4 linked regions of the Notamacropus eugenii genome follow. The protein of the gene in region 1 purifies or fractionates together with the protein of each later gene. This does not show direct contact. Links are inferred from orthologs where the notes say so. Each region holds a gene or a part of one and is shown on either strand. Other genes may lie near its edges. The genes, in order: STX18, RINT1, USE1 and SCFD1.

What was found.
Region 2: the proteins of STX18 (region 1) and RINT1 purify together in Homo sapiens (co-immunoprecipitation; 6 studies listed by BioGRID and IntAct, counting the BioPlex papers as one, with this or other methods). This does not show direct contact. The link is inferred for Notamacropus eugenii from reciprocal best matches to the Homo sapiens genes STX18 and RINT1.
Region 3: the proteins of STX18 (region 1) and USE1 purify together in Homo sapiens (co-immunoprecipitation; 4 studies listed by BioGRID and IntAct, counting the BioPlex papers as one, with this or other methods). This does not show direct contact. The link is inferred for Notamacropus eugenii from reciprocal best matches to the Homo sapiens genes STX18 and USE1.
Region 4: the proteins of STX18 (region 1) and SCFD1 purify together in Homo sapiens (affinity purification with mass spectrometry; 5 studies listed by BioGRID and IntAct, counting the BioPlex papers as one, with this or other methods). This does not show direct contact. The link is inferred for Notamacropus eugenii from reciprocal best matches to the Homo sapiens genes STX18 and SCFD1.

The regions. Positions count from the first base shown.
Region 1 is NC_092877.1:61,756,605-61,763,579, reverse strand, and holds the start of STX18 (syntaxin-18), read right to left. Parts: upstream 3,003-6,975; 5' UTR 2,891-3,002; coding exon 2,717-2,890; intron 1-2,716. UniProt on the Homo sapiens protein: Syntaxin that may be involved in targeting and fusion of Golgi-derived retrograde transport vesicles with the ER.
Region 2 is NC_092874.1:150,325,943-150,333,063, forward strand, and holds the start of RINT1 (RAD50-interacting protein 1), read right to left. Parts: upstream 3,009-7,121; 5' UTR 2,166-3,008; intron 974-2,165; 5' UTR 963-973; coding exon 789-962; intron 1-788. UniProt on the Homo sapiens protein: Involved in regulation of membrane traffic between the Golgi and the endoplasmic reticulum (ER); the function is proposed to depend on its association in the NRZ complex which is believed to play a role in SNARE assembly at the ER.
Region 3 is NC_092875.1:60,616,159-60,623,078, reverse strand, and holds the start of USE1 (vesicle transport protein USE1), read right to left. Parts: upstream 3,013-6,920; 5' UTR 2,915-3,012; coding exon 2,738-2,914; intron 1-2,737.
Region 4 is NC_092878.1:47,285,684-47,293,197, forward strand, and holds the start of SCFD1 (sec1 family domain-containing protein 1), read left to right. Parts: upstream 1-4,507; 5' UTR 4,508-4,585; coding exon 4,586-4,643; intron 4,644-7,514. UniProt on the Homo sapiens protein: Plays a role in SNARE-pin assembly and Golgi-to-ER retrograde transport via its interaction with COG4. Involved in vesicular transport between the endoplasmic reticulum and the Golgi.

The sequences.
Region 1 (6,975 bases):
GCTATAAATATTTTGGTGTATGTGGGGACTTGTTTCTTATTATTAGGTTCATTGGGATATAAGTTCAGTAGTGGGGTCTCTGTTCCAAAGAGTATGTAGACATTTTAGTCCCTTTAGTCGCATAATTCCAAACTACTTTCCAAAATGGCTGTACCATCTCACAGCTCCACCAACAATGTATTAGTGTTCCTATTATTCCACAACCCCTCTAACATTGAGTACTGCCATATTTTGGTCATCTTTTCAAATCTGTGAAGTAAAACTACAAGCTTCCTTTGATTTACATGTCAATCAATCAATCAATCAACATTTATTAAGCATCTGCTATGCACCAGGCACTATGCTAAGCACAGGGATACAAAAAGAAGCAAGAGACAATCCCTGTCCTCAAGGAGCTTAAAATCTGATGAGGGAAACAACACGAAAACAAATATATAACAAGCTATGTACATGATAAATAGAAAATAATTCATAGTGAAAAGGTATAGAATTAAGAGGATTTAGAAAAGACTTCCTCTAGAAAGTAGAATTTTATTTAGGACTTAAAGGAAGTCAGGGAGGTCAGCAGTCTGAACAGTGGAAGGGAGTGTTCCAGGTACAAGGGAATGCCAGAGAGAATGCCTGGAGCTGAGAGATGGAGTGTCTCATTCATGGAACAGGCAGAGGCCATGTCACTGGGTTAAAGAGTATGTGTTGGGGAGTAAAATTTAAGAAGATTAGAAAGGTAGGACTAGGTTATGATGGACTTTAAATGTCAAACACAACAGAAATCTTTTACACAGAAAAGTTAATGCACTTGCGATACAAAGGGAAGTAAGCAAGAAAAAAGCTTTGTATCAAATTTCTCTGATAAGGATTTGGTATCCAAGATATATAAACAAAACTATATACATACATACACATACACATACAGAGGGAGTGTGTATATCATTTCCCTTCGTATGCTAGGTGCGCTCATTTTGTCTCTGCAATCTGGACAAAAGCCTTTAATTTTTATCTTTGTAACATCTCTCACATACATTCCCTTCTCTGACACTGCCACACCCTGGTGTAGGCCTTTATCGCCTAGACTATTACAAACAGCCTGTTGCTTGATCTCCCTGCCACAATTTTCTCCCCACTCCATTCCATCCTCAGCTGTCAAAGTGATCTTCCTAAAGCACAGGTCTGCCCATGTCACCCCAATCAATAAATTCCAATGGTTCCCTGTTACCCCTAGAATTAAATATAAAAAACTCCATGTACTCTGTGATGCAATGAAATTGGCTTCCTTGATATTTCTTCCATGTGACATCCCATCTCTCAACTCCTAATATTTTCACTGATTGACCCTCATACCTAGAAATGTTCTTCCTCATCTGTGCCTATTACCTTCCCTGAGACTTCAAGCCTCAAGCTAAAGTCCCACCTTTAGGAAAAGCCTTTACCAGTCCTCCTTAATCTTAGATCCTTTCCTTTGAGACTACCCTTAATTCATCCTGGATAAATCTCATCTGTACATAGTTTGTATATTTTCACTCCTACTAGAGTGTGAGTTAATCAAGAGCAGGGGGTGTTTGAACCCCCAATGCTCAGAACAGTGCCTAGTATATAGTAGGCACTTCATAAAACCTAGCTAACAGGCATTTATAAATTTACAAACAAGTAAATACATACATATTGGAGATACCTGTTTAAAAACATTTTAGTAAGGATGCACAATAAAAAAAACTGGAGGACATTTATCTGATTCAACCTGTTCCAGAGAGAATGAGCCTTCCAATATCCACAAATGTAAGCATCTAAGCCTCGGTTTTAAGACCTCCAGTGAAGAGGAAGCCCATTTCACCTTTCATTAGGATCACAGTACTATAAATTCCACTAGTGCTGGGGGGAGGAGGGGGTCCTCAGAAGCCATCCAGCCAAGGCTTCTCATTAAAGAAACTGAAGCCCACGTAAGCAAAGTTACTTACCAAGGTCACTGGGATGGCATGTGTCAGAGACAATATTTTAAAGAACTATATCCAAAGCCTGTCCCTCATCAACCTGTACTCATCCACCTAAGTTCTGACCTCTAGGCCAAGTCTAATCTCTTTCACAGGACAATCACTGGTACACTTGAAGAGGCCCATCCTATGTCTGCCTGGGGCAGGGACCCCACTCATCTCCCACCACCTTACGCTGATTCATATGATGTCAGGACCGGAAGGGGTTTGGGGATCATTCCCTGCAGTATCTAGGTGACACTGTGAGGAAGCCACTTGGCCTCTCTGTGCCTCACTTTCCCCATCTGTGAAATGGGGATAACGTACAGCACCCACCTCCCAGGGTGGTTGTGAGATAAAAGGAAACACACGTAAAATGCTTTGCAAATCTTGAAGCAGGATATAAAGGCTGAGGAGTTGCGGTTACTAACAACTAACATTTCTACGGCACCTTATGGCTGTGCCAATACGGTGCCACCCTCCTCTTACAGACCAGACACCTGAGGCCCACAAAGGTCTCAAGCCATCCACGAACACGTAAAAAGCTAAGTGCCAGCCTTCGGGAGGGACCTCGGGGACCACCGGGTGCCGCCGCGTCCTTCCACAGACGGGGTACACTGAGTCTCGCGAGGTTTCACCGACTGACAGCGGGAGGAGACCAGAGGGAAGCCCAGGAGCCCCGCTACTCCACGCGGCTACCTTCCACGGCCGGGCCCCCTCCCCCTCCTCCGTTGCCCTGGCAACTCACTCACCACTTCCCGGGCCCGGCTGGAAAAGTCCCCTTTGGGGCGGGGGCTCCGGCGAAACAGCTCCTCCCGGGCGCCGTCCGAGCCGCCGCCGCCTCCGACGGCTACCCCCAGGGCCTTGTTCCGGGTCTTCACGGTCTTCACGCTGGCCCGGAACAGCAGGGTGATGTCCACCGCCATGGCGCCCCGACTTCGCAGCCACCGTGTCCGCCCGGCCCCGCCCACTACGGAGACAGAGGGGGCTCCGTCCCTCCGACCCTCCCCCCGGCAACCGCTGTCAGGCAACCGAGGTTCCGCGCCCGTCCCAGCCGCCGGAAGTAGCGGGCTACCTGCGCGCTCCCGGGAGGCGCTCTCCCCGCCCCTTTTCTCGGGAGCGCGCACGCCACGCCACGCCACGCCCCTCCTCTCCCCCCACCCCCCCCACCATCTCACGGGTGTCTGCGCTCCGGGCATCCGCTGGCCTGGGAATCCCGGGAGTGTAGAGGGGGTGGGAGGGAGCCGCGGGGCGTAGAGGCCGGCAAACTGAGGCCCGGAGAGGGTGCGTGACCAGGCGAGGTTCGGGTCCAGGGGGTCGGACTAGGCTCAGGGCCCCGGGCGCCAGATTAAACGGGAAGCCGCCTGAGGGCAGGCATGGAAGGCGCTTAATAAATGCTTGGACCCACCCCCTTCACGTTTTTAAATAATTAAAGCAAATGCTAAATTTCAGGGAGACTTTAGTGAAAATAAAAACGTCACCTTCCCCCCCATTGCTGGTCGTATATCCCTCTGAAATTTTACGGGTTTTTGAACCCCAGGTTAAGAGCCCTGATCTGGCCCAACCCCCCCTTTTTATTTTACAGATGGGGAAACTGAGGCCCAGGCTGACTGGTCCGCTGGTCCAGACCTGTGTTCTAAATCCACAGAGGTTGTGGAAGCTGCCTGAAGTCCTGCAGGAGATGGTTTATTCACGTCCGTGATCAGCCACCTGCCAAGGGTCCTGCCTTCAAGAACCTTACATTCTGAAGGGGTGAGCTGGAGTCGCCTTCACGCCTAGTTTAAGCTTTCTTTTTCTGATCAAGTTACGATTTGTGGCTCCCCGACTCATCGTGAGGACCTGAGAAATAGTGACGTGGTGGAATGTATAACAATAACCAAAATCCTAAATGTGGTTCTGAGCATCTGCCCCTTTTGGTGCCTTTTTCTCCACTCCCATCCCATCCCCTGTCATTGCAAAAAAACAAAAACAAAAAAAGGCTGAGGGCCATTTAATTTTTTTTATGCAGTTTCAGTGACCTAAGAATCCATCAACTAATAGCCAGGCTTCCATATTTAGCTAGATTGACCCTCCAGGAAACTACTAACTTATAATAACCAGCGTTTATAGAGCACTCTAAGGCTTGCGAAGCACCCACAACAATACTGTAAGGCAGGTGCTATTATGTCCATTTGACGGATGAGGAAACAGGCTGAGAGGTTAAATGTCTTGCCCAGGATCTCCTAAATGACTGAAACAGAACGGGATCTCAAGTCTTCCTGACTCCAGGTCAGCATCTTTCCACGGCCCCACCTAGCTGCGTTGTCTGCTTCACAGAAGTTACAGGAATTTGCAGTCCCCCGGAAATAGCCTTTGAGGCTCCAGAGTCTCTTCTACACTACAATGAATCACTGAAGTTCATCTGGGGAGGTCTGGTTCCACGGAATTTGGAACATTAGTAGATGCATTGTTGAATTCTGACCAATTCACTTAGTGTTATTCTGAAAAGAAATAAAGAAATGTAAAAAAAAGCAAGACTTTGGTATGTTAATTAGATGCTCATTCAACAATAACTTAACTGAGTACCTGTGCTGTGCAAAGTTTATTTTATTTTGTTTTTAGGAACTTGGGTTCACTTTGCTTAGGAATTCAGAAAATTGGTGACTTTTTTCTAGTTTGAGGTTTGGCTCAAGAGTGAGGTATCGCTGAAACATCCAGGGGTGGTGTGTTTCGTGACTTTCTAAAGCAAATCTAATAGAGGAATGAGTGTACATGTCAAGAACTTAACTGCTTAGAAATAGGAAAAACGTGAAAAACAACGGCAACTATGCATTTATGCCTCTGTGGTTCTGTTGTGACTGACTCTCTGAGACCCTATTTGGAGTTTCCTTCACAGAGATACTGGAGAGGTTTGCTATTTCCTTCTCTATCTCATTTTACAGATGAGGAACCTGAGGCAAACAATGGTAAGTGACTTGCCCAGGGTCACACAGTTGGCAAGTCTGAGGCCAGAGTTGAACTCAAGAAGAGTCTTCCTGACTCTACGTCAGGTACTTTAACCACTGCACCATTTGCCTCTGCCGTCACCCAACCTGTTTCTCAAACCAGAGTGAGTATCTCCAGTCTTCCAAATGTTCCATGCCAACTCCCTAGCCTAAAATGAAGACAAAAAAACTTCTCTTTTCTCACTCCACCTTCTTCAAGCTTCCTCCTCTCCATCTCCAACTCTTATTATCCCCATAATATTAGGCATATCCAGAGGTATGCAAATTTCCTCAAAGCATTCAAATTGGAAAGAGAGAGAGAAAAGGAAAATATATAAGTAACTGCTATAGCTAACTAGTTATGTGACCCTGAGCAAGTCTTTCAATCAATGTCTGCCTCAATTTCCTCCTCTGTAAAATGAGGATAATAACATTAAACTCCCTCCATTGGTGTGAAGAGCATGAGATAATATTTGAAAAGCTCTTAGCACAGTACCTGCCTGGCACATAGTAAGCATGTCCTTCCTATAGAATAGATATGTTTATTGCCTTTAAGGCACAAGCACATATAATTATAATTCCATACACTATCTGATGAGTGCATTGGAGATTTGCAAAGTGCAATGTGGATTTCAAGGGAGAAAGTCATTAATAATTAGAGATGGTGAGGATTTTGTGAAAGTACCAGTCTTGACTGATTTCCCTTTCTCTTAATTGTTCATTCCCCAAAGATCAATCTGTTCTTCATCTTGGATCCCTTTTGCCTGACTCCATAGGAAATCCGTATTGTCCCTTAGTCTCCTTGTCTTAGCTGAATATTGGCAGGTAGGGATTTCATATCAGGTACAAAATCAATACCTGGGAGATCTTCTTGAGGAATGATTTCAGATGTTGGAGAAGTGATCAACATTCAATGTCTATTCACCAACATTAGCAGCAAATATGCTAAACAAAGAAAGGAAAAAAATGGTTACATGGTAATTGCCACTTTAAAGTGAAAGTAGAGCACAATACACAAAACACATGTTTCTATGAGTGATTTGTTGAAGGATATATAGCACAACTGCCCAGGCTCAAAGATCATGGAGAAAGGGCTGCCTTAAATATTTTTCCCAGACCTTTGAAGAAATCTTCCCATCTTCACAGAAACAGGATGTCCCACATTTGCTGAGGTCAGGAACCATGATTTCGAGGCTGATCTTAAAGCATTTTATAAAATACTAACTATTAAATGATAATTGGCTAGGAATAATAATAATATATAGATAGCACATACTAGATGTCAGACACTGTGCTAAGTGCTTTACAATTATTGCCTCATGTGATCCTCACAATAACCCTGGAAGGGAGGTGTTATTATTACCCCCATTTTACATATGAGGAAACTGAGCGAAACAGCAGTTAAATGACTTGCCCAGGTTCACACAACTCATAACTCTAAGAGCTCAGATACGATCTCGGGTCCTCCTTGCTTCACAGGAGTTGGATGCACTGCCTTCTCACCCTTTCCTGCCTCAGCTATCACGTCTTTTTGTCACAGCCTGCAGTCACAGGGAGCAGACTATGAACTCTTATCACCTATGTTTTCAGCACTGAGCTACAGCACATGTTTCTTCCCACACATCCAAAAAATGCTTATTCAGGTAGATGAGAAATATGTCCAGTTTGGCACACCTGTTCTTTTCCATGATCATTTCTGTTACCCTGCCAATTTCTAGATCTTCCTTTTAAGTTAAGTGTGAGAGTTCATTTCACTAATAAATAAAATCATGTAAATAATAGTTTTAACCTGAGTTAACCAGGATAAGTCAAAACTCTGGGGAAACTGTTAATCCATTCAACAGGCATCCATTTATGGTACTGGAAGGAATAATGTAGAAAGTTCAAGTTCGCTTTCCCCTCATCCTTCATTCCCTTGGAATTTTTGTTCAACTTTTTCCTAATAATCTGCCCCAGGAGTTTCACAAGTCATCTTATAAAAAATCATCAACATGGCAGAAGCTAACTGCCTGATACAGAGTGGAAATTCCCCCTAGAAAACTTCTGCC
Region 2 (7,121 bases), on another chromosome or scaffold:
GAATAAGGTCAGGGAATTTGGGGTTCGAGAGAAAGCCCTGTAACAACTAAACAACTAGGGATTCTCTGTGTCACGCAGAACCAGTAACATCATTCACTCTAGACTGTAGCTTGTTTATATTTAAATGTGATAAAATAAGAGGAAAATCAGTAAAAAGGTATTGCTATACACAGAGGGGAGGGGAGGATAGGAGAGGGCAGGGGAGGGAAGGGAAAAAGAGGAAGTTTTTCCTATATTTAGAATGGTACCGTAAGATTTACTACAGATTCCCATATTATGGAAATATAAGAGATTAGGAATGCTAATCTTGCATCCATTTTGACAGCGACATAGGTAAAAATATATTTTAAACAACAATATATTACAAAAAGTATGCACTGTTCAGGGAAAAAAAGAATATGGACACAGAATTTATTTTTCACCAATGTAGTAGAAAGAAAATTTCTTAATCTTTGCCAAAAAGACAATAATACAACTAAGTGTAAAAGCATTTTAAAGTAATTATAATAAAAGCTCCATAAAATGTTACCAACATTACCAACATCATTTTTCCAATTACATAATGTCATTCAAGTAGGAAATTTGTCTTTTATTTATTTTGCAGAATACTTAATAGGTGGTGGATCCTTTATAAATTTAAGAGCTATACAACTATTACCTAACTCTCCTGATCCCAAAGTCAAAATGCCATGAATATTTTTCCTGTTTTTACCAACAGCTATTCATTCTACATAAATGTGCAAGGAACTCATCAAATGTACAATTCAATTTTAATTTTTAATACTTACCTGTTCTTCTAATTGTACTTTATTGTTTGTCAACTGTTCTATGAGTTTTCCAAGTTTCTTTAAAGATTGAAGATCATTTCCAACTTCCTTTTCCACAAATTCAGACACGTAGGAGGGGATATCACAGGTATCTACATCTTGGTTGGTCTGTTCTTTTCTGACAGGAGCTGCCATTCTTAGATCTCCTAATTTTTTTTTAAATTGTAAAGCAAAAAATTTACTGAATAACAACAACTGTATGCTACAGAACATACACGTGACGGCACACTAGAATCACTCAGACGATCCACAAGCATTTATTAAACTGACACTTTGGTGTAAGATGTGCGCTCTAAATCCTTTAACTTCCATGTGCTTCAGGTAACTCTCTAAGACTTAGCTACTAAGTTACAGGCTGGTAACAAAGATTTATCATATACAAAACACCATATGGGAAAAGGGTCATCATCCGACGGGGTAAATAATGTGGGAGATCATTGATATTTCTTGCCTTTCCTACACCTCAAGCTTTAACTACTGCCACAGCCTTCTGACTGGTCTCCTGCCCAGTCTCTCTGCACTCCTGCCCACCCCTGATCTTTCCTAAGTGTATGACAACTTCTACCCTTCCCTCAATCAGCTCCAGCAGCTCTCCAGGACATCCAGATGAAACAGAAAACCATCAGTTAAACTTGGCTCCCTCCTACCCTTCTCCCTACGTTCCCCCACCAGGACACGCCGCCTTTCTGGCTCTTTCCCACACCCAACACTCCATCCGAAGCTCCTAGCATTGTCACCGGCTTCATCCTTCTCCCAGCCTCCCAGCTTCCCTGGCCTTCCTTCAAGTCTCCATTAAAGTGCCACCTTTCTCAAGTCTCCTTACTCTTGGTGTCCCCGCCCCCTTAGGAATTATTTATTAATCTGCGGATGTATTTCCAGTTCACCCTGTCGCGTTTGTCTTTATTACTCAGTTTTTTTACTTCTCTTGTTTCTACAAGCTGCTGGCACGCCGCGTCCCTCCCCGCCCCGCCCAGACTGGCACACGGTGGGCGCCCACCAGTCTGCATTAGGGTGGTACAGGCACAACGTCCAGATCGACCCTGATCACAGAGAAAGCTTTGGAGACTTTCAGCTATTAACAAGTTGTAAAAGTTCAGAATTCACGGACCCCCCCAGAAATGCACCCCCAAGTCCTCCCTGACTTTGCAGGCTGGAAAAGCTGCAGTGGAGGGAGGTCAGGTAACTTGGCCTGGGACGGGTAGGTAATAAGCGTCAGAGCTCGGACTCGAACCCAGGACACCGCACCGCAGCCCTCCCGGGCGTAAGCCGCCTGGGAGGCTCTCGCGGGCTTTACTTAGGGGAGGTCCTTCGCCCCCGGCCCGCGTGGTCTCCCCTGACCTCGGCTCAGCGCCGGCCGCCGTCTGCTCTCCGTCTTCTCGGCTCCATGCGCAGCCCGCCTGCCCGGGGCAGCCTGTGAGAGGCGCCGAGGGAGCCCCTCCAGGACCGGACTCGCAGACGCCGAGACGGGCGTTTCACCCGGAGGATGCCGCGGTGGCCGCCCACGCCACTTCCTCTCCCGAACTCGCTGACTCCTTCCCCTCGTTCCCAGAGGAACACACTCTTCGTTTTCCCCGGCCGCGGATAACTAGCCTGTGGCGCCACCGCCTGCCTGGAGGTCGCGCTGCAGTTCTTACGGGGAGGCCAGACAAAAACTGGTCCTGATGCTAGTCTAAGAACTTCCTAGGAACCTGGGTCATGGTCGTAGTGATAGTACTGGTAGTAGTTGGTTGGTTGTTGTCCTTTATGCTTGAAGAAGACCAAAATGACATCACTATGTTGGGGTCAAGGTACGGGGTGTACTGTGGCTGAGCTTGGGAGACTACCATAAGTCCAGCACAAATGAAGATTTGGAGTAGAGATGCCTCTAAAAAGTAGCGGCAGCAGCAGTAGTAGCAGCAGTAAACATCAAGAATTACCAATAATGACATCGCATTATATGTAACATTTACATTTACTAATCATAAGCTTGCATGTTGTATGGAGGCAAACAGAAGTGACATGGTGGATACAGGGCACTGGACATAGAGTCAGGCTGACCTGAATTTGAACCTTGCTGGACAAATGGTGCTGTGTCTCTCATTCTCAGTTTCCTCATCTGTAAAATGGCACCTACCTCACAGGGTTGTGGTGAGGATCCAGTGAGATAACATATGGAAAGTACTTTGACTTTGCAAATCTTAAGGCACTATATAAAATGTTAGCTATTGTTATTACTAATGGATCACAAATCTTGCAGATGATGGTTGAGAACAGTTGTAGTAGCAAGGAATACTGCTTTATGCACCTAAAATCCTCTGTATTTTATTTTGAAGATTTAAACAATAAAATCCATAAGTGCAGTCACACCATTATAGTTTTGTGAAGTTGAAATACTGTGAAATTGTTTGTTTTTTTTAAAGAAAAAAAATGCCAATAGTACCACCTTCCAAATTTTGCATGATGGCAAATATATGCAACCAAATCTCCCCACCCTAATGGCATGGCATTTGGGATAACTGGTCCATTGTTTTTCTATGCCTTTTAACTTTGCTCAAAGGAGACAAGTGTCCTGGCCTTTATTAAGGGTTGTGGGTACCCAAAATGTGGGCTGTTAGTCACTAAGGAAAGTGGATAATCCAACACAAACTCCTATCACTTCTGAGCGATTCACTAATATCACAGATTTAGAGCTGGTAGGAGTCCAAACTCATTCTACAGACAAGGTAACTGAGACCCAGAGAGGTTAAGAGACTTGCCCAGGGTCACATAGTCATAACTGACAAAGTCAGAATTTGAACACAGGTCCTCTGACTCTTAAATTCATTGATCTTTCCACTGAACCAGAGTTCCCCAGATGACTCTGTGCCTCCATTTCCTTATTTATCCAATGAAGAGGCTGAATTTCAAGGTCCAATTTTAATGATCCCTGACTCCATGACTCTACCTCCACCTCCTTCACTCCTTGATTATGACAACTGAAGAGGTATTCCTGGCCCTTCCAACCCTTCTCTGAAGGAAAGTATTGTGTCTGAAAGTATTATATAATATAAAGTATTATATCTGAGACTTTGAGGATCCTAAGGCAAATACAATTTCCCAAATTTTCTGCTTTCTAATTTTGTCAAGAGTGATTCTCTTAGACACTCTTCAGCAAAGAAGATGAGCTCAAGATTAACTCAAAATTAATAGAAATTTCAAGATTAACTAGGAATAGAGGTTAGGAAGAGGAAGAGGAAGGTTAGGAACTAGGAAGAGTTCAGTTCCTGTGCAATGATACAAACATCATCTGAGATTATTAGAATTTGGAACCCCAGTTAAAGGCAAGAAAAAGGTGGAGTTTTTTCAAATGAACTTTTTTAGTTAGGATCTAACTTTTAACTGCTTTGTTAAAAAAAAAAAAGTGAACACAAGATGGGATAAACAAACAAGAGTTTATTCAGGTGCTGGGATTTATTTCCTAAAATGTGTATTTAAAATTTGTATTTAATTTCCTCCTTCCCCCAGTCATCTTCATCTATATCCTGTATTCAGACCTCAGTCACTGACACTTAACAACTATACTTTTGGTAGTATAATACTTAAAAAAAATAAAGTGAAGAGGAATGAAAACAAACTTTTTTCTTCTCCATTTAAGGTTGTAATTTGGTAACATTTGGATTTTAATAAATGAGCTTAGTGACAGACTGAATCTGTTGCATTAGAGGACTATTTTATCAGATTTAGAGAGAGTCACCAGGGGAAGATTGACCATAGACTCATGAAATGACTAAGGTCTAGAAGGGGTCGAAATCATCATGGGTGGCATTACCCATGGGGACGATATCAGAGGAGCCTCAAAGAATGCATTTTAATACTATCCAGGAAAATTTAAAACATGAACAGAAAATTGGTTTCCTGGTTCACATGTAGGTCATTATGCAGTCTGAACCTATATTCCTCTCCTCTCCTTTTCCATCTCTTCCTCACTCCTCCAAAACAGAATTTTCATCTTCTAATCACTGGTCTCACCTGCTCTTCCACTCCATCACCCTTGCACTGGTCTTATTTTTCTCCTTTCATGATCTTGACTATTGGGAAGAAATATATGTGAACCTCTCTTAAAACAAACAGTTGGTATAATGATTGTTGTACTAGGGAAAGATGTGCTTTTCAGGTAAATTAATACTGGAATTTGGAGTTACTACTGAACTGCCACCCTGACTATATTTTTTCTAATTAATTCATTAATTTTTAGTTTTCAACATCCACTTCCATAAAATTTTGAGTTCCAAATCTCTCCCCATCTCTCCCCTCCCCCACCCCAAGACAGCCTGCAATTTGATATAAGTGCTCCGTATACATTCATATTAAACCAATTTTCACATTAGTCATGTTGTAAAGAAGAATTAGAACCAATGGGAGAAACCATGAGAAACAAGAAAGAAACAAAAAAAGAAAAAAGAGAGAGCAAATAATGTGTTTTGATCTACATTCAGACTCCATAGTTCTTTTTTTGGATGTGGACACCATTTTCCATCATGAGTCTTTTGGAGTTGTCTTAGATCCTTGCATGCTAAGAAAAGTCTATCTGTCAGTCATCAAACAATGTGGCTGTTACTGTGTACAATGTTCTCCTGGTTCTGCTGACTTCACTCAGCATCAGTTCATACAAGTCTTTCCAGGTTTTTCTGAAATCTGCCTGCTCCTCATTTCTTTTTTTTTTTTTTTCTTCTTTTTTTCTTTTTTCTTTTTTTTTTTTTTATTTAGCTTTTAACATTCATTTTCACAAAATTTTGGGTTTCAAATTTTTCCCCTTTTCTCCCCTCCCCCCCCAAACGCCAAGCATTCTAATTGCCCCTATGACCAATCTGCTCTCTCTTCTATCATCCCTCTCTGCCCTTGTCTCTGTCTTCTCTTTTGTCCTGTAGGGCCAGATAGCTTTCTATTCCCCTTTACCTGTATTTCTTATTTCCTAGTGGTAAGAACATTACAGCTGATCCTAACACTTTGAGTTCCAACTTCTTTAGCTCCCTCCCTCTCCACCCCTTCCCTTTGGAAGGCAAGCAATTCAATATAGGCCAAATCTGTGTAGTTTTGCAAATGACTTCCATAATAGTTGTGTTGTATAGGACTAACTATATTTCCCTCCATCCTATCCTGTCCCCCATTACTTCTATTCTCTTTTGATCCTATCCCTCCCCATGAGTGTTGACCTCAAATTGCACTCTCCTCCCCATGCCCTCCCTTCTATCATCCCCCCCCACTCTGCTTATCCCCTTATCCTCCACTTTTCTGTATTGTAAGATAGGTTTTCATACCAAGATGAGTAGGCATTTTATTCTTTCCTTTAGTGGAATGTGATGAGAGTAGACTTCATGTTTTTCTCTCACCTCCCCTCTTTATCCCTCCACTAATGAGTCTTTTGCTTGCCTCTTTTATGAGAGATAATTTGCCCCATTCAATTCTCCCTTTCTCCTCCCAATATCTTTCTCTCTCACTGCTTGATTTCATTTTTTTTTAAGATATGATCCCATCCTCTTCAATTCACTCTGTGCACTCTGTCTCTATGTGTGTGTGCGTGTGTGCATGTGTGTGTGTGTAATCCCACCCAGTACCCAGATACTGAAATGTTTCAAGAGTTACAAATATTGTCTTTCCATGTAGGAATGTAAACAGTTCAACTTTAGTAAGTCCCTTATGACTTCTCTTTGCTGTTCACCTTTTCATGGTTCTCTTCATTCTTGTGTTTGGAAGTCAAATTTTCTTTTCAGCTCTGGTCTTTTCATCAAGAATGCTTGAAAATCCTCTATTTCATTGAAAGACCAATTTTTCCCCTGAAGTATTATACTCAGTTTTGCTGGGTAGGTGATTCTTGGTTTTAGTCCTAGTTCCTTTGACTTCTGGAATATCCTATTCCATGCCCTTCGATCCCTTAATGTAGAAGCTGCTAGATCTTGTGTTATCCTGATTGTATTTCCACAATACTTGAATTGTTTCTTTCTAGCTGCTTGCAATATTTTCTCTTTCACCTGGGAGTTCTGGAATTTGGCCACAATGTTCCTAGGAGTTTCTCTTTTTGGATCTCTTTCAGGCGGTGTTCTGTGGATTCCTTGAATATTTATTTTGCCCTCTGGTTCTAGAATCTCAGGGCAGTTTTCATTGATAATTTCATGAAAGATGATGTCTAGGCTCTTTTTCTGATCATGGCTTTCAGGTAGGCCCACAATTTTTAAATTGTCTCTCCTGGCTCTATTTTCCAGGTCAGTTGTTTTTCCAATGAGATATTTCACATTATCTTCCATTTTTTCATTCTTTTGGTTTTGTTTTGTGATTTTT
Region 3 (6,920 bases), on another chromosome or scaffold:
TAAAGTGAAATTTCAGTGTGTCCGACTGTTGGGGGTGTAAGCTCAGTTCCATGTGGACAGTCTCGGGCAGGTAAAGGTGAGAACTTCTAAACCTTAGAGTTCTCATGAGGCCCCCCAGGGAACAGCAGGGAATTGAGGTGTGAGACCGGGATATCGCGTGCATTTCCACCTCTTCCCGTGGGAAACGTGATAGGAGAGAGCATCCCCGCCCTCGAGATTGGCCCAGATCTGGGCACACCTATTGTTATCTAACAGGCACGGTATTGAGGTGCAAACGATGCGGCAGGAGAGCTTAAGTAGGGTCAGGAAAGCCCGAAGGCACGCTTAGCACTGAGGGGCCCTTACAGGACAGAAGGCCCCTCTTCCTTCTTTCCTCTCTTCGCTCTTCCCTCTCCCCTCTCTCCCCACTTCCACTTCTGCTTTCATTCTCTTACTGTAAGATCTTTGCCTCCTTGGGAGATTTCTCTCTCTCCTAAGGAAGAGTTCCCCCTGCACATGTAACCAAGACCCTGAATAAAGCCTAACCCTTGTTCGACTCTGGAAAGTCTCTTCTCTCATACGTTTATCCGGTTTGGCCAGCCGAAGACCTGCGATAGGTAAGGTAAGACTCGGGTAGCCCTCAGGCCTCTAGGCCTGGCATCCGACTATGGCTGATCAGACCAATACGAGCTTGGAATGCTCTACCACAGGTTGGGCACAGATAGTCCATGTGAATATTTGGGGTGGATATTCCAAATTTGTGCATCCTGCGTTTACTTTGTGCTGTCTCAATTCTGCTTTGCTCGAAGAGCACAGCACCTTTTCTTATGTGTGCATGCCATGCTGAGCAGTCCTGTGCCAGTGTCTCCCATGTTGCACAGTCAAATCCAAAGTTCTTGAGAGAAACTTTGAGAGTGTCCTTGTATCGTTTCTTCTGGCCACCATGTGATCGCCTGCCCCATGCAAGTTCTCCATAAAATAGTCTTTTTGGCAAGCATACATTTTGCATTTGAACAACATGACCAACCGATTGGAGCTGCACTCTCTGAAGCATAGTTTGAATACTTGGCAGTTCAGCTCGAGCAAGGACTTCAGTGTCTAGTACCTTGTCCTGCCAGGTGATCCTCAGAATCTTCCTAAGACAGTTCAAATGGAAGTGATTCAGTTTCCTGACATGGTGCTCGTAGACTCTCCATGTTTCACAAGCATATAACAATGGATCTGTAGACCTTCAGTTTGGTAGTCAGTCTAATACCTCTTCTCTCCCAAACCTTTCATTGGAGCCTCCCAAACACTGAGCTAGCTGTGTCGATGCATGCATCAACCTCATTGTCAACGTGTACATCTCTGGAAAGTACAGTACCAAGGTAAATGAACTTATCCACAGTATTCAAAACTTCTCCATTTGTTGTAACCAATGGTTCCACATATGGATGGTATAGTGGTGGTTGATGGAGCACCTGTGGGTTTTTTTGTGTTAATTATCAGGTCAAAATTAGCATAGGCAGCAGAGAATTGATCCATACTTTGTTGCATCTCAGCTTCAGAGGCTGCATTGATTGCACAATCATCTGCAAACAGAAAATCACGCACCAACACTCCCTCCACTTTGGTCTTGGCTTGTAGCTTTTTCAAACTGAAGAACTTACCATCAGTACAGTAGTGGACCTTGATACCATGTTCATCATCATTGAAAGCATTCGTCAACATGGCTGAAAACATCATGCTAAAAAGTATGAGAGCAAGCACACAACCCTTTTTCATTCCATTGGTGACTGGGAAGACACGAGAGCATTGTCCACTATCCAGAACCCGAGCAAACATGCCATCATGAAATTGACATACAATAGTGATGAACTCGGGGCAACCAACTTTTGACATAATTTTCCTTAAGCCCTCACAACTAACAGTGTCAAAGGCCTTGGTCAGAGCTACAACCATTGTGTACAGACCTCTGTTTTGCTCCTGGCATTTTTTCTGGAGTTGTCAGGCAGCAAACGTCATATCGACTGTTTCACGGCCCTTTCTGAAGCCATGTTGACTCTCAGGTATATGACCATCTTCCAGGTGAAGGATTAGCCTATTGAGGAGGACTCTAGCAAGAATTCTGCCAGCAATGACTAAGAGAGAGACGCCCTGTGATTGTCGCAGGACAATGTATTTCCTTTACCTTTATAGAGATGGACAATGGAGGCATCCTTGAACTCCTGGGGGATAACCTCCTCTTGCCATATAACCTGGAAAATTTCAGTCAGCTTTTGTATGAGCAATGGTTCCCCCACCTTGTAAATCTCAGCTGGAATAGAATCAGCACCAGGTGAGGGGAGAAGGGAGAGGGAGAGCTCCGTGTGAGGAATGGACGTCAAAACCAGGACAGGATAAGAAGAGGAAAAATGGGAATGCGACCCCCAATTCTAGCTCTACCAGGCTGTGTAACCTTGGGCAGGGCATTAAACTTGGCAGGATATCAGATTTCTTGTCCGAAAAAACGGGAAGTGGGGAAGGACGGACCAGACAGATTGTTCTCACTTTACATTCATTGATTTAGACCCTAGGCCTAAAATGCCTTCCCTCCCTCCATCCATCCCTCTCCTCTCTAATTAATATGCCACTTCCGGGGGGGGGGGGGGGGGCAGGACCGGAGCGGGGTAGAGCCAATCAGGGGCCAGGAGGGCGGGACCGTGCCTCGGTGGGGGCGGGGCGGCGGTGGGCACACCTCTGCCCCTTCTAGCCTGGGGTCCCCCGCGGCGCCTCCCACCTTCTCCAGGCGCCACTCGCTCGGGTCGCGCTTCTCCGCCGCCAGCGCCTCGCAGCGGCACAGCAGCCGCACCAGGTTCAGCTCCAGCCGCGGCACCGCCATCACCGTCCCTGCGCTGTCGCCAACTCCGCCACGGCTCAACCAAGCACGGGCGGAAGAAGGCGCGCCCGCCGCCATATTAACTAAGGGCGGGAGGAGGTGCTTCCGCCGCCATGCCCGCTCCAGCCGAAGGCGTCTTGACTCTAGGCGGAAAATGACTGTCGGTCTAAGAGCTACGGGCGGAAGAAGCGGTTTTACGACCATACTTAGTGCGGGCGGAAGGGCATTCCGAGCTTCCGGTTAACCGCTCCGCCCGCGCCATCTTAGTACGGGCGGAAGGGCATTCCGAGCTTCCGGTTAACCGCACTAGCCGCGCCATCTTAGTACAGGAGGTAGATGATGGCGCTGGGCAACGTTACCACCGTAGGTGGAGTCTGGCACCATCTCACCTACTGGTAGGAGTTCCTGTCGCCATGTTACCTGAAGTCTTCCAGTGGCTTTCTCATGTTCCCCATCACACTCTACTTCGTAGGATTCCTGAATAAACGTCAGCTTTCTTTGCCAAGCCTTCGTCCATTTCACGCATGCTAACTACGGGGTCGCAATGGGTACAGTGTTGAGACTGGAGTCAGAGGGCCCTGGGTTCAAATCCACCCAAAGACACAAGCTCTGGGACCCTGGGCAAGTCACAACCCTCTTTGCCTCAGTTTCCCCGTCTGAAGAAATGGCAAATCACTCCAGGAGCGCTGCCAAGAAAACCCCAAAAAGGGCTCCCAGAGAGTTGGACACAACTGAACAAGACCTTTGTCCATCCAGCCCTGACCTCTCTCGAGCTCTAGTTCTAAAAGGAACGACCAGGGGGTGTAGTATAGAGAGCGCTGGGCTTGGAATTGGGAGACTTCAGCTCTAATCCTCCTGAGAACATTGACAAGCTCTGTGGTCCATGACGTTGTGAGCTAGAGGGCAGGGACTATCTTTGTAGCCTGTCTTTGTATTATTCTACAGTGCCTGGCACACAGTAGGCACTTAAATGCTTCTTGATTGTTCCTGGGCAACTCCTCTACCAGCCTCAGTTTCCTCAACTGTAAAATGTAAGAAACTAATAGCACTTACCTCCCAGGGTGATTAAGATCCAATGAGCCAACATTTGTAGAGCACTTAGAACAGTTTCTGGCATGTTCCTTCCCCCCCTCCCCTCCTACTTCTAGTGTCAAATCCCGACTGTCTTTTGGACATCTTGAACTGGTTATCCCATAGTTATTTCAAACTCCACATGTCCACAACTGAACACATTTCTTAACCCCCAAATGCTTGACTCTTCTGATCTTCCCTAGAAGACACTATTATTTCAAGATTGGTATCATTCTTGACATTTCACACTTCCTCACCTCCAATATCCAATAGTCTACCTTCCCACCTCGCCTATGGTGTGCCTTTCTCTCCATTCACACAGACACCGCTTCCCCGGATTAATCGAGCAGGCTTGGGGTTGATCTCCTTGCTTCATTCCTGAGCGGCTACGGTGGACTTTTCTAAAGGTTATGTCTGACCAGTCCCGTCCCCTCCCCCCCAGAGCTCTAGGGGCTCACTGTTAACTCCAGAATCAAATATAAATTCCTTTGTTAGGCATTTAAGACCAGTTAGAGGACACCATCATCTTCCCAGTCCTTCAGGCTTGCAACCTAGGAGTTAAGCTCAACTCTTCACTATCTCTCACCCTCCCATACCAAGGGCTGTTGATTTCCCTTCTGCCACCTCTCTCAACTATTCCCCATTCTCTCCTCTGACACTGCTACAACCCTGGTGCAGGTTATCACCTCATGCCTGAACTTTTGCAGCAGCTGCTGATGGGTCTGCCTGCCTCAAGTCTTTCCCTACTCCAATCCATCCTCTATTCAGCCACCAAAGTGATTTTCCTAAAGCACATGTCTGACCATATCATTCCTCTACTCAACTCCAGACATTCCCTGTTACCTCCAAGAGCAAATACAGAGTGCTCTGTTTGACATTCAAAGCCCTTCAAAACCTAACCCCATCCCACCTCTCTAGTTATCTTACACCTTCCTCCCTAACAGGTACTCTTTGATCCAGAGACATCGTCCTCTTGGCTGTTACTAGAACAAGGCACTCATCTGTCAGCTCTAGGCATTCTGTCTGGCTGTCTTCCATGCCTGCAATACTCTCTCTCCTCTGGTCAGGCTACAGCTGATCTCCCTGGCTTCCTTGAAGTCCCAACTCAAATCCCATCTTTTACAGAAAGCCTCTCTCAATTCCTCTTCATTCTAGTGCTTTCCCTCTGTTAATCATTTCCTATTTATCCTGACTAGAGCTTGGATGTTGTCTTCCCCATTAGATTGTAAACTCCTTGAAGGCAGGAGCTGTCTTTTGCCTCTTTTTGTATCCCTAGTGCTTAGCACATGCCACAAATTATTAATGTGAATTGATTGATAATGTGGCCCCTTCCAAACTTTCCAATCTTCCTACCCTTTCCTCCTGTTCACACACTCTTAGGTCCAGCTACCCTGGCCTTCTTGTAGTTTTTCCAACACAGCATTCCATTTCCTTTCTCTTGGCTTTTGCCCTGACTGTTCTTCAAGCCTGGAACACTCTCCCTCTTGGCCTCCATCTTTATTTGTTTCCCTGACTTCTTTCAAGAGTTGATTTGAATTCTACCTTCTATAGGAGGCCTTTCCCAGTCCCCCTGGCTGCTAGTGCCAACCCTGGGCAAGGGAAACTGAGGCAAACAGGGTTAAGTGACTTGCCCAGGGTTACAGGGGTCTTCACCTTTCATCTACTTTGCACATAGGGGGCAGCTAGGTGGTGCAGTAGATACAGCACCAGTGCAGAAGTCGGGAGGATCTGAGTTCAAATCTCACCTCAGACACTTGACACTCACTAGTTGTGTGACCTTGGGCAAGTCACTTAACCCCAATTGCCTCATCCTGGGTCATCTCCAGTCATCCTGATGAATATCTGGTCACTGGATTCAGATGGTTCTGGAGAAGTGAGGCTGGTGACCAGTACAGCCCTCCCTCACTCAAAACAAAGTCAAGTGCAAGTCACGTCATCATTCCTTTAATGGCATGGTCTTCTTTGGCAACGAAGGATGAACACACACACACTCTGTACATATGTTGTTCATACCTCTTGCCATTAGAATGTGAACTCCTTGAGGGTGGGGACAGCTTGCCTTTCTTTAATGCTGACTACCTGTGGGCTTCCCTTTCAATCCAGTAAATAGATGGAACACCCACAGTGTGCATGGTACCGATACTGGGTACAGACATGAAACAATCCCTAACCTCTAGGCATTACATTAGCGGGCACGATGGATAGAGTGCTGGACCCGGAGGCAGAAAGACTTGAGTCCAAATACTCCTTTAAACACTTATTTGCAGTGGGACGGTGGATAAGTCATTTAACCTTTATCTATCTTGGTTTTTTCATCTGCAAAATGAGAATGAAAATAGCACCTCCCCGCAGGATTACTGTGAGGATGACATTAGGTATTTGTAAAGTCCTTTGTAAACTTTCGTAAAGCACTATATAAAAACTAGCTCTACTTAGTGTTCTTTGGAGGAGGGGTGAGTGGAGAGAATATAACAAAAATAGCTAAGTCAGGATGAAGAGTTTTACCACTGTGGCTCATGTTTGATTCCATCAGAGACCCAATTCTCTCCATGGAGATCAGCATCTGGCCTCTAGCTTAACAGGGCCGCCCGTGAAGGAAGGAAGCATTTAGTAAGCACCTACTATGCGCCAGACAGTATTAAGTGCTTTACAAATATGATTCTCACATAACCCTTGTGAGGTACATGCTATTATTTTCCTTATTTTATAGTCAAAGAAATGGAGGCAGAGTTTAAGTGACTTGCCAGGGTCCCAGAGCTAGTGTCTGAGGTCAGATCTTCCCAACTCCAGGCCTAGCACTCTGTCCACTATGTCACCTAGCTGCCTCTTGAATCTGAATCTTCTTGGCTCCAAAGTGGGCCCTTCATACCAAGGCTGTTGCTAGAAAGTATATACAATGTCATGTTAAGCAGACAGTACTAATGATGGGAAGAGATTAGGGATTAGGATCACAGAATCAAAGAACCAGGGGGGAGCTCCAATATCACCTACTCCAACCTCCTCTTTTTAGAGG
Region 4 (7,514 bases), on another chromosome or scaffold:
TGAAAGTTAGACTTATTTATATTGACATGTTTTTCAAATGAAGTTGTGTCTTAAAATTTTATGGTTTCTGGAACCTCCTTCAGCAAATCTTTACTTCTCGTGGATTCACTTCTCTTGGATTCACTCATGTTAAAGCCTTTAGGTAATATGATATTGTAAGTCTTTTACTTTCAATTATGTCTAAACAGAAATCAGTTAGTGATTTTACTTTTCATATGCTCATATTTATATATTTCAAAATTGTACCTATGAGTAAGTTTGGTTCTTTTTTCACTTGAGCACGTTTCTTTTAATCACTAATTTTCTAGGATGTCTCCTGAGACACCTTTTGGGTCTGTGCTATTTATTTTTCTTTTCAAACAAAACTGAGTCATTGATGATTGAATGATAGGACTTCATGCTAACAAAAATCAATATAAAAAAAGATAAATTTGCCAGGTGACTTTGCCTTTAGTGTTTATTCATCTGAAGGAAAGTAATTAGAATAAGATTTACTCCCTCTGTAAACAGACCACATTTTTAATGGTTTCTTTATTGTTACTCTCTGATAAATTGTGCAGTGTTCTGCTTGTATTATCAAATGTAAAATATTTCCTTTCATTTGTTTGATAACTTACTTTTAATGTATGTAGTTTATGTCCAGGATTTATACAATTTAAAATTTGCTTTAATCAATCTCAAATTTAATTCTGCTAGTGACAGTTTTATATACATGAATTATTTTTTAACTTTAGGCAGCATGGCGGAATGGATAGAGAGCTGATCTCTAAGTCAGGAAGACTGAGGTTGGAGACATGAATCTGATACATCCTGGTTTGTGTGACTTCTCAGTGCCAGTTCCCCAGGCATCTTTTTAAGATTATAAATTGTAGAGGTGCTGGAGGCCTACATTGGTAGAGGGAGTGTCTTCACCTGAGCAGTTCTCCTACATTAGTGAAATTAATTTCACTTCCTATGCTTAAGTACTCTAAATTGTACAGATTGAAGTACTGAAGAGAAACTTAGAAAGAAATGTCTTCTAGTTCTGTTGACAGCCTTTCAGTACATTATAACTTTGTCTGCTCAGTTTGATATGCAAATTTGGGTCATTTGTAATAATGTCTCTGTTGCATAGGAAGTGACCAGAAAAATACATGAAGCATTCTTTTGTGTAAACTTGACACCTTAGGGCTTTTCGTTCATGAATCTATTCTGACAAGATGGAAAGATTCCTTTTGTACAAAAAACTAACTTCTATAAAAGTTTTATGAAACTGAACATATGGATAGGAAATGCCACATAAATGAGGCAACATTGTAATTAAATCTTCAAATAAGAAAAGTAGCACTCTGAAGTTAATTCATTTCTCACTTATCCTCAAGAGATACAAAAATTTCATATACACACACCCTCCCTGTCCCCCCCCCCCATGTAATGCTTGTTTACCTCTTAGTCCTAAATGTATGCGCTACTGTGCCCCAGGGCTGGCCAGTAGTGGAGAGCCTGTTTCCATAGCAAGCCAATAGCCAAGCCCCAACCCTGGAGCAGTCAGGCTAGGTCATTGGGGAGACTCCACCCCTAACCCCCCCAATACAAGCCAAAAAGGAAGCCTGCCCTCCAGAGAAAGCAAGCAGCTAAGCACTCAAGCCCAGTGAAAGTCCCCAGTAAGATCCAAAGCCCCAACACCAAAAGCTTGGGATAGGGCAGGACTAGAGCCCAACTCTCTCATAAAAACACCAAGCCGTAAAAAAAAAGGCAGGAAAAAAAATGACCAAAAAAAATTTAACTATAGAAAGTTACTATGGTGATAGGGAAGATCAAGGCATAAACTTAGAAGAGGTAAATAGCGTCAAAAGGGCTACATGTGAAGCCTCAAAGGAAAATGTAATTTGGTCTCGACCCAAAAATTCCTAGAAGAGCTTAAAAAGGATTTTAAAAAGCAGATTACAGAAGTAGAAGAAAAATTGGGGAAAGAAATAATTGTGATGCAAGAGAATCATGAAGACAAAGTCAGTAGCATGGGAAAAGATAGATAAAATTTACCAAGGAAAATAACTCCCAAAAAATAGAATTGACCAAATAGAAAAGGAAGTAAAAAAAGCTCACTGAAGAAAATAATTCCTTAAAACATCAGGATTGAACAAGTGGAAACTGATGATTCTATGAGACATCAAAATAGGATAAAACAAAATCAAAAAAGTAAAAAAAAAAATAGAAGTTGGATGTTGGTTGGGGATGTGGAAAAACTGAAACACTAAAGCACTGTTAATGGATTTATGAACTGATCCAACCTTTCTGGAGAGCAATTTGGAACTGTGCCCAAAGGGCTATAAAATTGTGCATACTCTTTGATCCGGCAATATCACTGCTAGGTCTGTATCCCAAAGACATCCAAAAAAAGGGAAAAGAACTTATTTGTACAAAATTATTTATAGTAGCTGTTTTTATGGTGGCTAAGAATTGGAAATCAAAAGGATGCCTATCAATTGGGTAATGGCTAAACAGGCTGTGATTGTAATGGAATATTATTGTGCTAGAAGAGATGACAAGTAGGATGATTTCAGAAAAACCTGGAAACTTACATGAAGTAATATGATGCATTAGTGAAATGGACAGAATTAGAAGAGTTGTACACAGTGATACCAATATTGTTCAATGAAAAACTGTGAACGATTTAACTGGATCTAGGACAATCCCAAAGGACCAATGATGAAGCAGACTATCCATCTCCAGAGAAAGAATGGATATTGATTGAATACAGACTGAAGCTTCTTGTACAAAATGACTAATGTGGAAACATTTTACATAATTGCGCAGATATAACCAAGATCTGATTGCTTCCCATCTCAGGGCGGGGGGAGCGGAGAGAGGAACAGAATGTGGAACTCCGAAGTTTAAATAAAAATGTTAAAAAAAAATTGAGGATCTGAATATAGATAGTGACAGATACGAACACTATGAGACAGTTCTCGTTTTATGCAAATTTGCATTATGCAAATTCGACTTTACATAAAGAATTCTAAAAGACATGGGAGAAGGTAGCAAGCATAAATGAAAAGAGTTGGGGAAAAAAGTGTGCCCCACATTCATTCCTGATTTTCATGGATCTGACAAAGGTGAAATGTTCAAAGAAGTAACAAGGTTGTGAACTTAGCACAAGAACTGGAGCTAGAGGCGGAAGAGAAGGATGTGGAGGAGCTGACTGAGTTATGATCTGATTGAGTGGTTAGCTGCAAAGATTGCGGAAAAAGAAAAGGAAGCTGGGAAACCCCAGATCAGACCAAAAAGATTCCCAAGCATTTCATCACTGGAGTGAATTTTTCTTGTATTGAAAAGACAGATCCAAATACCTCAAGATTTTTACAAGTTCCAAGGCAAGCTGAGGATTAAATTGCTTGCTATCATTATGTATATTTAAGGGAGAAAGGAGAGCAACTGTCCCAACATTTAGATAGCTTCACTGAAAAAAGGGAAAGGCTGGGTTCAGTGGATGGGGGAAGGGCGAACCTGTTAACCTTACTGTACAGCACTGTGCATGCTTTATTATTACCTTTAATCTCATAATTCTGTTTCTTATCGTGGTACAGTATTCAGCCTGTCTGTCTGTCTGTATTTTACGGCCTGTAAAGGTGTCCTTTTGCGCATGTTTCTGTTACACAGCCCAAGTGAGAGGGGCGGGTGGGCAGGAGCAGACTCACATTCCCAGTGGGGGTCCGCAGAATGGTCAAAGGGTGTTACACGTTCACGCGTGACCTTTGTGTGGGCTGTTCAGTTTTCCATCTCTGGCGGGCAGATTAAAATATCAGTGAATACGTTCAGGCCACTTAAAAGATTACTTAGAGTAGGACTAGCAAGCATTTTGGAGCGTCATTTTTCTTCAGTATTGGGTCATTTCTAGGACAGGTAACCAGGAGCGTTTTGTGATTTCACTCAACCGTGGGTGTGGAAAATAAAAACAGCTGCCGGTAGGAAAAAAGGATGGCTACATTTGAATAGCGGCCATAATTTTATTGTAAGTTTTAGGTGTGTAAATAGCCATTTAAAATGTACACTGCCAACTCTGGTGAAGCTTCAGAACTGATTGAGCAGTACGTCAGTGTTGATCCATTGATTACGGGAGATGAACTGTCATATGTACCCATTTTTTGAAGTGCAATAAACTCTAAGGATTCAAACTGAAAACTGATTTGGGGTGATTTGTAAAATAATAGTTAAATAAATTCACGCACCTTTTTCTCGAGGCATCCTTCCCCTCCCCCACTTTCCCACAAGGATGGGTCTGCTTTAGCACCGTCTGGAGTCTCCACGACCGAAGGGGAAAAGGCCAAAAGGCCGACGATTAACTCGTGGGATCACCTGCCACACACGTGACAGCCCCCCCCTCCCCGAGCGACCCGCTTCCCACCCTGCAGCACGGCCCCATCCGGGGATTTTAAAAATCTCGGCGCGCGCAGCGCGGGCCCGGAGCCACGTGACCCCATGACGCAGAGGAGGCGGGGCCGGCGGGCCACGTGTCCTCGGCCGCGCCGCTTCCCGCCCCCTTTCCTTCCGGGGGCGTTGGGGCAGCCACGTCATCCTGCCGCTCCGGGCTTCGGGCCGGCGGTGAATGGTGGGAGTCAAGATGGCGGCCGCGGCTGCAGCCAGCATCCGAGAGAGGCAGACAGGTACCCGCTCGCTTCGTGCCCCCGCACTGCTCCTCCTCCTCCCCCCCGCCCTGGGCCGGGCTGTGCCGGCCTGGCCCTGCCACCGCGGGGGCGGCGGGAGCGGGCTCGGCTCGGCTCGGGCAGCCCCGGCTCCTGCCCCGGGCCCGCTCCGCTCCGCGCCTCACCCCTCCGGACTCGGGCCCCCGGCGCTCACCTTCCCAGCCTGCGGGCGGCCGCCACCCGGCTTCCCCTCTGCGCCCTGGCGGGGCCTCCCGGAGCCGGGAGGAGTCCCCAGGGGTCCCCCGGTGCACGGATTCATCCGCCCGCTCAGGGGGACGGGCGTCCTGGGGTCGGGCAGGGGCGCTTGTCCGTGGGGGGCACGCTGCTGCCGCCGCTGCTTGGGTCGCTGCCGGAGGTGCTCAGTGGCGGGGGCTCCCACCTCCCACGCCCTCGGGGGGTTTGGCCGGCTGGTGGACCTACGTGGGCGTTACACCCAGGGGCGTGTTTCCAGGATCAGGTGGGCCTGCTGATGGCCTTGGTTCACCAACTTACCTGACCTCCCGCGGGTGCACTGAAGACGCTGGTGGTTTCTGGCATCTGTTGCCCTTTCGTGCGTCCTTCCTCCTACTTTTTAACGAGTAATCTGGTCTTTGGATCACAGGGTGTAAAAGACTTGCCAAAGTTTCATTAATAGGAGTAGCAAAATTAGGATTAATTCCTAGATTCTTAGACTTCAAATTTAGTGTTCTTTCTAATATACTACCAGATGTGTGAAGTTTTTATTATTCACTCAGCAAACCCTATCCTATGTTTTAAGTACAGTGAGTAGACAGTCTAGCCAGAGAACAGTAGCGTTATGGAGGATGTGGGAGACATGAGATTGAAAAATGTAACCCCAGGGATTTGTTTTGGACTCCCTTCTCTCTGCTCTCTTGATAAGCTTAGCTTCTCCCTTTTCAGTTTCACCCTGTCTCTGCTGCTGAGTCTCAGATCTATAATTTTATCCTCACTTTTGCATTCTAAAGTCCATTTTACCAACTGCTGGATATATATGTATATGCACATATATATGTATGAGTGTGTATATATGTATGCATACATACATGCACACACACACATATATATCTATATACACACACATATACACATATATCCATTATTACCAAATGCTAGAACTGTCCAGCCATTTTTAGTAACCCCTCCAGACTGCGCCTGAGACTTTGCTTTGAACTTTGCTGTCTTCCAAACGCATTTTGCAAAGCCCTTTCTCAGGAAAATTGTGCCGAGGGCTTTAGGGGACCATGATGGAGCGTCCTAGTAATTGATAAAATTGCCTCTTCTTTTTACCATCTCCTGCTCACAGCTGGAGTCAGATTTGGTTGTCTCCTCTAATGAGCTTCACGCAGGAAACACATCTTGCTGTGGTAGAAAGAACTTCTGGATTATGAATCAGAGGCCAGAGACTTGGCTTTCAATTCTAGCTTAGTCACTTATTGTGTAACCTTAGGTTAAATACACTTTCATTCTGGGCCTCAGTTTCCCCGTCTATAAAGATATTTGACTTCCTAAGTTCCCTTCCAGTTCTTTGCTGTTTCCGTAGTTCCCTGTTAAAAGATTTTGCTGAAGTTTGAAGATGTATTTTTTTCTCTTGTTTTTTCCTTTTTAAAAATTTATTTTTAGTTTTCAACATTCACTTCCTGTTGTTAATTGTCCATTTCTCCCCCATGGCTTATGCTTAGTTTTGCTGAGTAGATGATTCTTGGTTTTAATCTTAGCTACTTTGACCTCTGGAATTTCATATTCCAAGCCTTCTGATCCCTTAATGTGGAAGCTGCTAAATCTTGTGTTATTCCGATTGTGGTTCCATGATACTTGAATTGTTTCTGGCTGCTTGCAGTGTTTTCTCCTTGACTTGGGAACTCTGGAATTGGGCTATAATATTCCTGGGAGTTTTCATTTTGGGATCTCTTTCAGGAGGTGATCAGTGAATGCTTTCAGTTTCTCTTTTACTTTCTGTTTCTAGCATAAAAGGGCAGTTTTCCTTGATAATTTCTTGAAAGATAATATCTAAGCTCTTTTTTGATCGTGGCTTTCAGATAGTCCAATAATTTTAAAATTATCTTTCCTGGATCTATTTTTCCAGGCCAGTTGTTTTTCTAATGAGATATTTCACATTGTCTTCTATTTTTTTATTCTTTTGGTTTTGATTTGTAATTTCTTGATTTCTCATAGAGTCATTAGCTTCCATTTGCTCCATTCTAATTTTTAAGGAATTATATTCTTCAGTGAGCTTTTGATCCTCCTTTTCCATTTAGCCAATTCTGTTTTTTAAGGCATTCTTCTCCTCATTGGCTGTTTGAACCTCTTTTGCCGTTGGGCCTAGTCAATTTTTTTTTAAAGTGTTACTTTCTTTGGTATTTTTGGGGATCTCCTTTAGCAAATTGTTGACTCATTTTTCATGATTTTCTTGTATCACTTCTCAATTTTTCCTTTACTTCTCTTAGTTGATTTTCAAAAGCCTTTTTGAGATATTGCATGGCCTGAAACTAGTTCATATTTTCCTTGGAGGCTTTGGATATAGGAGCTTGGATTTTGTTTTTTTTCTGAGCGTATGTTTTGATCTTCCTTGTCACCAAAGTAAGTTTCTATAGTCTGGATTTTTTCTGTTGCTTGTTACTTTTCCCAGCCTTTTTCTTGACTTTTTAATTTGTTGTTAAGGTAGGGCTTTGCTTCCAGTGTGGATGGCACACTGCCCCAAGCTTCAGGGGTTTTATGCAGGTGTTCTCATAGATACTTCTAGAGACCTATAAGTTTTCCGTTCTTTCAAGGTGGTATAATCAAAGTGTTTACTCCTCTGGCCTGTGCTCTGGTTTGTAGGTTATCACAAACACT